Linked DNA regions of Cricetulus griseus. The protein of the gene in region 2 purifies or fractionates together with the protein of the main gene of each other region. This does not show direct contact. Links are inferred from orthologs where the notes say so. Each region holds a gene or a part of one and is shown on either strand. Other genes may lie near its edges.

What was found. Proteins that work in one complex are often made in the same cells at the same time.
Region 1: the proteins of Myh14 (region 2) and Chuk purify together in Homo sapiens (affinity purification with mass spectrometry; 3 studies listed by BioGRID and IntAct, with this or other methods). This does not show direct contact. The link is inferred for Cricetulus griseus from reciprocal best matches to the Homo sapiens genes MYH14 and CHUK.

The regions. Positions count from the first base shown.
Region 1 is NC_048596.1:17,462,168-17,465,744, forward strand, and holds part of Chuk (inhibitor of nuclear factor kappa-B kinase subunit alpha), read left to right. Parts: intron 1-924; coding exon 925-1,027; intron 1,028-1,679; coding exon 1,680-1,803; intron 1,804-2,476; coding exon 2,477-2,628; intron 2,629-3,577.
Region 2 is NC_048599.1:153,502,280-153,505,856, forward strand, and holds part of Myh14 (myosin-14), read right to left. Parts: coding exon 3,439-3,577; intron 2,764-3,438; coding exon 2,642-2,763; intron 2,058-2,641; coding exon 1,988-2,057; intron 1,618-1,987; coding exon 1,457-1,617; intron 828-1,456; coding exon 719-827; intron 1-718. UniProt on the Homo sapiens protein: Cellular myosin that appears to play a role in cytokinesis, cell shape, and specialized functions such as secretion and capping.

The DNA.
Region 1 (3,577 bases), on a different chromosome or scaffold from region 2:
GCATGCATGTCTATGTATGGCTATGTGTTTGTATGAGTGCAGATGTTTATGAGGGTGTACATGTACATATGTGCCCATGGAAGCCAAAGGTCAACCTCAGTCGCCATTCCTCAATGACAGTCATCTCCTTTGTTTTGAGAAAGGCTCTCTCATTGGCCTGAAACTTATTGATTAGGCTAAGCTGCTGGAATCACAAAACCCAACTCTTATTAAATGTGGGTTATGGTGCTTATACTCGGGTCTCCATGCTTGTATAACAGGTGTTTTACTGATGAAATATTTCCCCAACACTAGCATTACGTTTTTGAATGTTATCAGTGTTATAGGGTGTTTCATTCCTGTTGGACCTTTTGAGAAAGAGTCTTGCTGTGTAGCCCAAGCTGACTCTCACCCTACCCTGTTTTGGAATTACTCTAGTACCTAGTCTTTTTCTTTTGTTTACTACTGAGTGTTTCATTCACCAGTATGACCTTTTGTATTTGTTCTTTTGGCTTTTAAGTACTGAGATTAGAAACTTACTTTGTTTTTCCTAGTTTTTTAAGTTAGCAGACAAAATGGTGGGTTTTGTTATGGCATTTTTATGCATGTATATTCACCATAGTTTTTCTTATTTCTACCTCTTCCATTTTGCCCTTCTTTGTTGGTCTTTCTCTCCCCAAACAGTCTTCCCTTTTGCTTCCTTGCTAACCAACCCCATTACCCTCTTCCCACACCTGCTCTGTTTGTTCCTTTGGGTCTGCTGATCACTTTTTACTTTGACTCCATATATCTTTTTACTAACCCTTTGCCCCACATCTATAAATTAGATGTGAATGCACAGTGACTTTGTTCAGTACATTTCAAAGAAGGAAATCTGGCACTTAAGTATTTGTAAAATCTAGAGTTTTCAAGAATCTTTGCATTTTAATTGTTTCTTTTTTTCAGAGAGGCTGTGATAGCTACATGGTTTATTTGTTTGATAAAAGTAAGACTGTGTATGAAGGACCATTTGCATCCAGAAGTTTGTCTGATTGTGTAAATTATATTGGTAAGTAGAGTCCAGTTAGTGGCTGAACTTTAATCTTGAAATTACATGATTAGTAAATATGATCTTTTTAGTGGTTTTGTTCAGTATCTCCTATTTGAGATTTCTATATGTGGCGAAAATGGATTTAATGTAGTTTGGAAGGTGTAAAGGTAGATTTTAAATTACCACTAGACTCTTCTCTTGGGAGGAGATTTCCCTTCCTGAGGATAGGGCTCCATAGATAGAAGAATGAAAGCCCACTGTGCACTGTGCCTGCTTTTTTTAATTGTTCCTTCGTTAGGTGTGTTCAGATATTTACACACAGCTTTGCCTGTAAATTTCATAAATCTGAGCTGGTGTTTAGAAACAGAAAAGACTGGTGGACTGTGGAGGAGAAGGAACTTGAACCAAAGCTTTTAGAAGTAAAGAATTTGGATTAGCAGAAAGAAAATGAATATTCTTGACTTCTTGACTGGAGAGAAGCAAATTTAAAAGAAAAACATACAGAAATAATGAAGTAGTTATGTTATTCAGACACACAACTCTCATATCTAGAGCCAGGCAGTAGATTCTTTTTAACATCTATGGGAATAGTTTTTGGAAAAGACGTCACAAAGAATGAACTATAGTGTCTGAAAGTGGCTTACCTCCCTTATTACCATTTTACTTATAGTTCAAGACAGCAAGATACAGCTTCCAATTGTACAGCTGCGTAAAGTATGGGCTGAAGCAGTGCACTATGTATCTGGACTAAAAGAAGATTACAGCAGGCTCTTTCAGGGACAAAGAGCGGCAATGTAAGTGGGTTCTGGTTGTTTTTTTAGCATAACACCACTTGTATCATGTACTCAAGAATTATTCTTGCCAGTTTTCCCTGAGAATTGTGTAGAAGGCTAAAATATTGAACATATTTTGAAGTGTACTGTTTTTAATAATGTGTTTATGAGCATGTGAATGGATGCACACGTGGAAGCCAGGGTTGATGTTGGCTATATTTCCCTTATTGTTTTCTCACCTAAGTTTGGAGGCAAGATCTCTTACTAACCCTGGAGCTTACTGTTTCAGCTAGACTGAATGGCCCATGGGCTCCTCTGTTTGCCTGTTTCCCCATGCCTCCAAGCACTCACTTGCCATGCACTAAGCTGAGGTCCTCGTGCATGCAAAGCAAGCACTTTGCCCACTGGGCCATCACTCTGACTCCATTGAGATGCAGTGTTCTGACCAGACTTAAGATTTCTTATTAATGGTCTGAAATCATTCAGCTGTAATGTCTTGAAAATTCTAGTTCCTGAGTGGCCTTAGCTGAAGAAGGTTGTTTATCACAGACCTCACAGTCTGGAAATAGGTCAGCTGTTTCTCAGGATTTGATAATAGAAACTTAGGTTTTGGAGTTTGGATACTGTATGTTTGCAAATTGTTATTCAATGTTTCTGAATGTTGATAATTTTGTTTTGTTTTGCTATGGCTTAGGTTAAGTCTTCTTAGATATAATGCTAACTTGACAAAAATGAAGAATACTTTGATCTCAGCATCACAGCAACTCAAAGCTAAATTGGAGTTTTTTCACAAAAGCATTCAGCTTGACTTGGAGAGATATAGTGAGCAGATGACTTACGGGATATGTAAGTGTCTGGCTATAATGTATTTGTAAGGAATGTCTAGTCTTTTGAAACCATCTGCTCTCTTATCTTGTTGACACATAGCCAGTAATTTAAATTCACAGCAGACCAACATACAGAAAAACTTGTCAAATGTTTTTGTTTTGAGGGTTAGCTCTTTTAATCCCTTAGTTAAGCAACTTATTTCATAATTATTGTAAAAGTATGTAACTCTAGAAAAGCTAAATAATACAGAAGTGACCTTAAGACTGAATTTCAAGTCTTATTTTAAAATGTATAGAGTCTATATTGAGGTGACTTCCTAGCCAATACTGTGTACTGAAATGTGTGCTTCCCCTAGTTGGTATGCTGAAATCCTGATCCTTTTGATAATGGTAAGACCCTTGGGAAAGGATTAAGTCATGATGGGACCTTACTAGAGGCCTGAGTCACATTCCCTCACCCTTTCTGTCATAAGGGGACACAGAAGGCAGTGTGAACCACTGCCTATGAACCAGAACTTGATCTTGGCTTTCTCAGATTTCAAAATTTGCCACCTAGGGTATTTTTGTTTTGTTTTGTTTTGTTTTGCTTTGTTTTCTGATTTTGTTCTTGTAGTGTAGCAGCTCAAGTGGAATAACACAGCCAGGGGAGTCTTAAATTATTTGTTTTGTTTGTTTTTTTGTTTTCCCTTAATCCATCTGCTGTGGAGTTCTACCTACTGTTTTCTTATTATACACAGTGTCCTGACTCCAACCTTATCCCCTTTTGGATGTGTTAAGGATTTGTAAAGAGTTAAAATCCAAATAAACGGAATTGTTTACTTCATGACACATATCTTTTAGAAGAAGTAGATACTGTTTATTATGTACTTGACAAAAGTTTGGATATCTCAGAATAAGTGACCAGAAGTGTCCAGTTAGTGAATATATTTATTCTCTAGTGTTATTTCTGTGTTTACATATTATAGGCA
Region 2 (3,577 bases):
TATGTAAGCCATGATGGCTCAATTCGTACCTCCCCACACACATTTATTTACTGTCTATACATGCTTACACGTGAACATTTGGAGGTCAGAGGACAACCTGTGGAAGTCTCCTTCCACAGTGTGGGCCCTGGGGACTGGCAGCAAGCACCCTTAATCTGCCAAGCCATGTTATTACCCTGCCCCTCCTTTTTTTCTGAGACAAGATCTTATGTAGCTCAAGCTAGCATCAAACTCTATATGTAGCCAAAGATGACTTAGAGCCCCTAATTCTCCAGCTTTGTGAGTTCTGGGATGACAGCTTTGTGCTGTTGAGCAAACACGCCCTACCAACCAAGGTACAGCCTCAGCTAAGGCCTCAACCCATCCTCCCCAGTTTGGGGATTCCAGGCAGGCCTCACCCCACCCCACCCCACCCCAGTGTCCTGCATCAGACTAGTTTAAATCACTTATCATCTAAAGAATCCTGGGTCAACTGGCGGTAGTGGCGCAAGCTTTAATCCCAACACTCAGGAGGCAGAGGCAGGTGGATCTCTGTGAGTTCAAGGCCAGCCTGGTCTCCAGAGTGAGTTCCAGGACAGCTAGGGCTACACAGAGAAACCCTATCTCGAAAAAAGGAAGAGGAGGAGGAGGAGGAGGAGGAGGGGAAGGAGGACCGTCATCCTGGTAACAGGTGGCTCTGGTTCACAAACATGGGGAACACGGGCTCAGGCTCACTCACCTTGATGAACAGTCTCCACCACTGCCAGTTCCTCAGCTTGAGATAGGCGGCACAGTTCCTCTGCATCACCCGCAGGGCGCTCTGCTGCTGCTGCCTTCTCTGGAAGGCCCTGTGGGCACACGGATGACAGTAGGAGCAGCCATTGCAGACTTAGTTACTTCTCAGACGGGCTCTCACGTAGCTCAGGCTAACTTGGAAGCCCATCCTCCTTTCTCCGCCTCGTCAGTGCAGGCAGGGATGATGGGGGCTTCCTGCTAGGTGAGCCCTGTGCCCGCTGAGCTGAAGTTCCATCACGGCAGACTTTATGAGTCTTACACATCCTGCTCTTGGCTCTGTCCTCCAGCCCTCAGCCTCCCTCCCTTCCCCTCAGCCCACCCCAACACACTGACCCTGTTCTTGGCTCACAGTCCTCCACAGCTCCCCAGGACCCCTAGGCAAGGTCACAGCCCTCAGCCTGGGGTTGCAGCATCCCTTCTACTGGCTGTTTGTTCTGAGGGGAGGAGAAACTGCTCTACATCTGCCTGCAGCCTGAGACAGGCCAGGTGCCCTGCCCCAGGCCCTTACACAAACCAGCCTTCCATTCTCTCGGACCCAGTTAGCCTCTATCAGGACACGTCACTCCTCTAGCTGGGGTCCTAAACACAAGCATGTCCTGCAGGACTCCAGCTCCCTTTGGGTGTCCGCAGGCCTCTGCCCAGCCTCGGCCCATCACTCGTGGCACAGCCTGGCTTCCCTCACCTGCGGGCCAGGTATCCCCGTGCTGCTGCCTGGAAAGATACTATGATGTCCGTGACCTTCAGGTCCCGCTCTTCCTCCAGCTGGGCCAGGACTCCAGCACGGAAGAAGATCTTGCTTTGGCCAACACGGTATAGGTTGGGGTCTAGCTCCAGGGCCTGGATCTGGAGGGTTAGAGTGGGAAGGAGAATGAGATGGAGAAAAGGAAACAGTATCAAGAAGGACAATGGGGAGTCCCCCACCACCTGGATTCCCTGTCCAGGCGCTACACCTGCCCCAGACCCCGCTCCCAGGCTCCCACGCCCCCCCCCCACCTCACAGGCCCCATGCAACATCTTTTAGCAGGTCAACATTTCCCATATATCCAACACCAAAGGCCCTGCCCAGGCTGTTAGTAACACCCCCATCTACAGGCTCCGCCCCCAGCCAAAGCACCCTTAGCCATAGGCCCACCCACTGAGCAGGCTCGCCTCAGATCGCAAAACCCTACCCCTCCACAGGCCCTGGCTCCCATAGGCCCTTGCCCCTACCCACCATCTTTTCACAGGCCTGCTTGCCATCCATGAAGCCCTTGGGAATGGCGTTTGGGGTGAGGATCTCATAGCTGCAGCCAGAGGGGAGGAGGAGGGAAGAGGAGCACAGCATCATGAGACCATATGAATAAGGCTTGGTAGAGATAGGGATGCTAACCACACCACTCAGACAGTTTTGGAAATTTTTTTGAGTCAGGATGTCACTATGTAGCTCTGGTTGGTCTAGAACTCTCTATGTAGACCAGGTTGGCCTCAAACTCAAGAGATCTTCCTGTATCTACTTCCTCACTGCTGGGATTAAAGGCATGTACCGCTATGCCCAGCTTCAACTTCAGTTTTATTTATTTATGTATGTATTTATTTTGGGGGGCGGGGTTTGAGGCAGGGTTTCTCTGTGGCTTTGGAGGCTGTCCTGGAACTAGCTCTTGTAGACCAGGCTGGTCTTAAAGTCACAGTGATTTGCCTGCCTCTGCCTCCTGAGTGCTGGGATTAAAGGCATGCAATTTCAATTTTCAAAGTTCGGCTGGCACTCCAGGACCCTTTTTCCTTCCCCTCTTAAACACCACAGAAGGGAAAGTGAGACTCAGAAACCTGGCTTCAAGCCCCAAGGGATTTGACTCCCATCCTGCCCAGCCCCCTGGAGCCCTTTGCTCACCGCTGCCGGAACTCCTGGAAGAGGATGCGGTTGGGGAAGCCCTGGCGGCAGATGCGGATACCCTCAAGGACCCCATTACAACGGAGCTGGTCCAGCACCAGGCGGGGCTCCAACTTCCCAGCCTGCAGGAGTGACAGCAGGGTCAGTGGAAGCCACCAGGGGTGCCACAATCAGGGCTGTGGCAAATGTTTTACCACTGAGCAACACCCCCAGGCCTCTTTTTCCTTTTTTATTTGAAACAAGGGTTATTAAGTTGCCCAGGCTGGCTTTGAACTGGTACTGTAGGTGAGATTGGCCCTGAACTTAATACCTTTTCTATCTCGTTGTTCCTAGTGCAGGACTGACAGGCCTGGCCTGTATCCCAGCAGCCCTTCCCATTCCTTATTCTCACAATGCCCCTACCTGTCTCTGGGCACAAGCTATCTCTGCTTGGAAAACAGCTTAGGCTGAACAGCTCAGTTACCTCCCCTCCAGGGAGCCTCCTCTGACTCCCTGGCTAGGTAAAATCTAGTCTGACCCTTCTCAGCCCTTCAGGTTCACCTGACATTCACTTTGGGTGGTTAGCTGAATGTGTGTTTTATGAAGTAAGTACTTCTTTTGCCCTGTAACTGTTAGCTCCCTGCAGACACAGAAGCAACTGGCACAGGCTCACCTCTTTGCCACCATGTCCCTAAGTCCTGTCTCTGCCACAGTGGACACTCAAAATGTTTAGGTCAGAGAAGCAGAGAACCCAGACATGGCAGCCACTTGTACCCACTCAGAGAGTGCAACAAGCTGATTGGACACTTCCTACTCACCCTCTTCTCGTGATTGGGGACGATGCAGCGGACGAAACTGGGGTTGGTATTGCTGAGTGTGGCCATGAGGCGGCTCAGCGATTCCTTGTAGAGCTGCCCCACAGTCCGGAACATCCCACGGCGGGGGCGACCTCCCGGA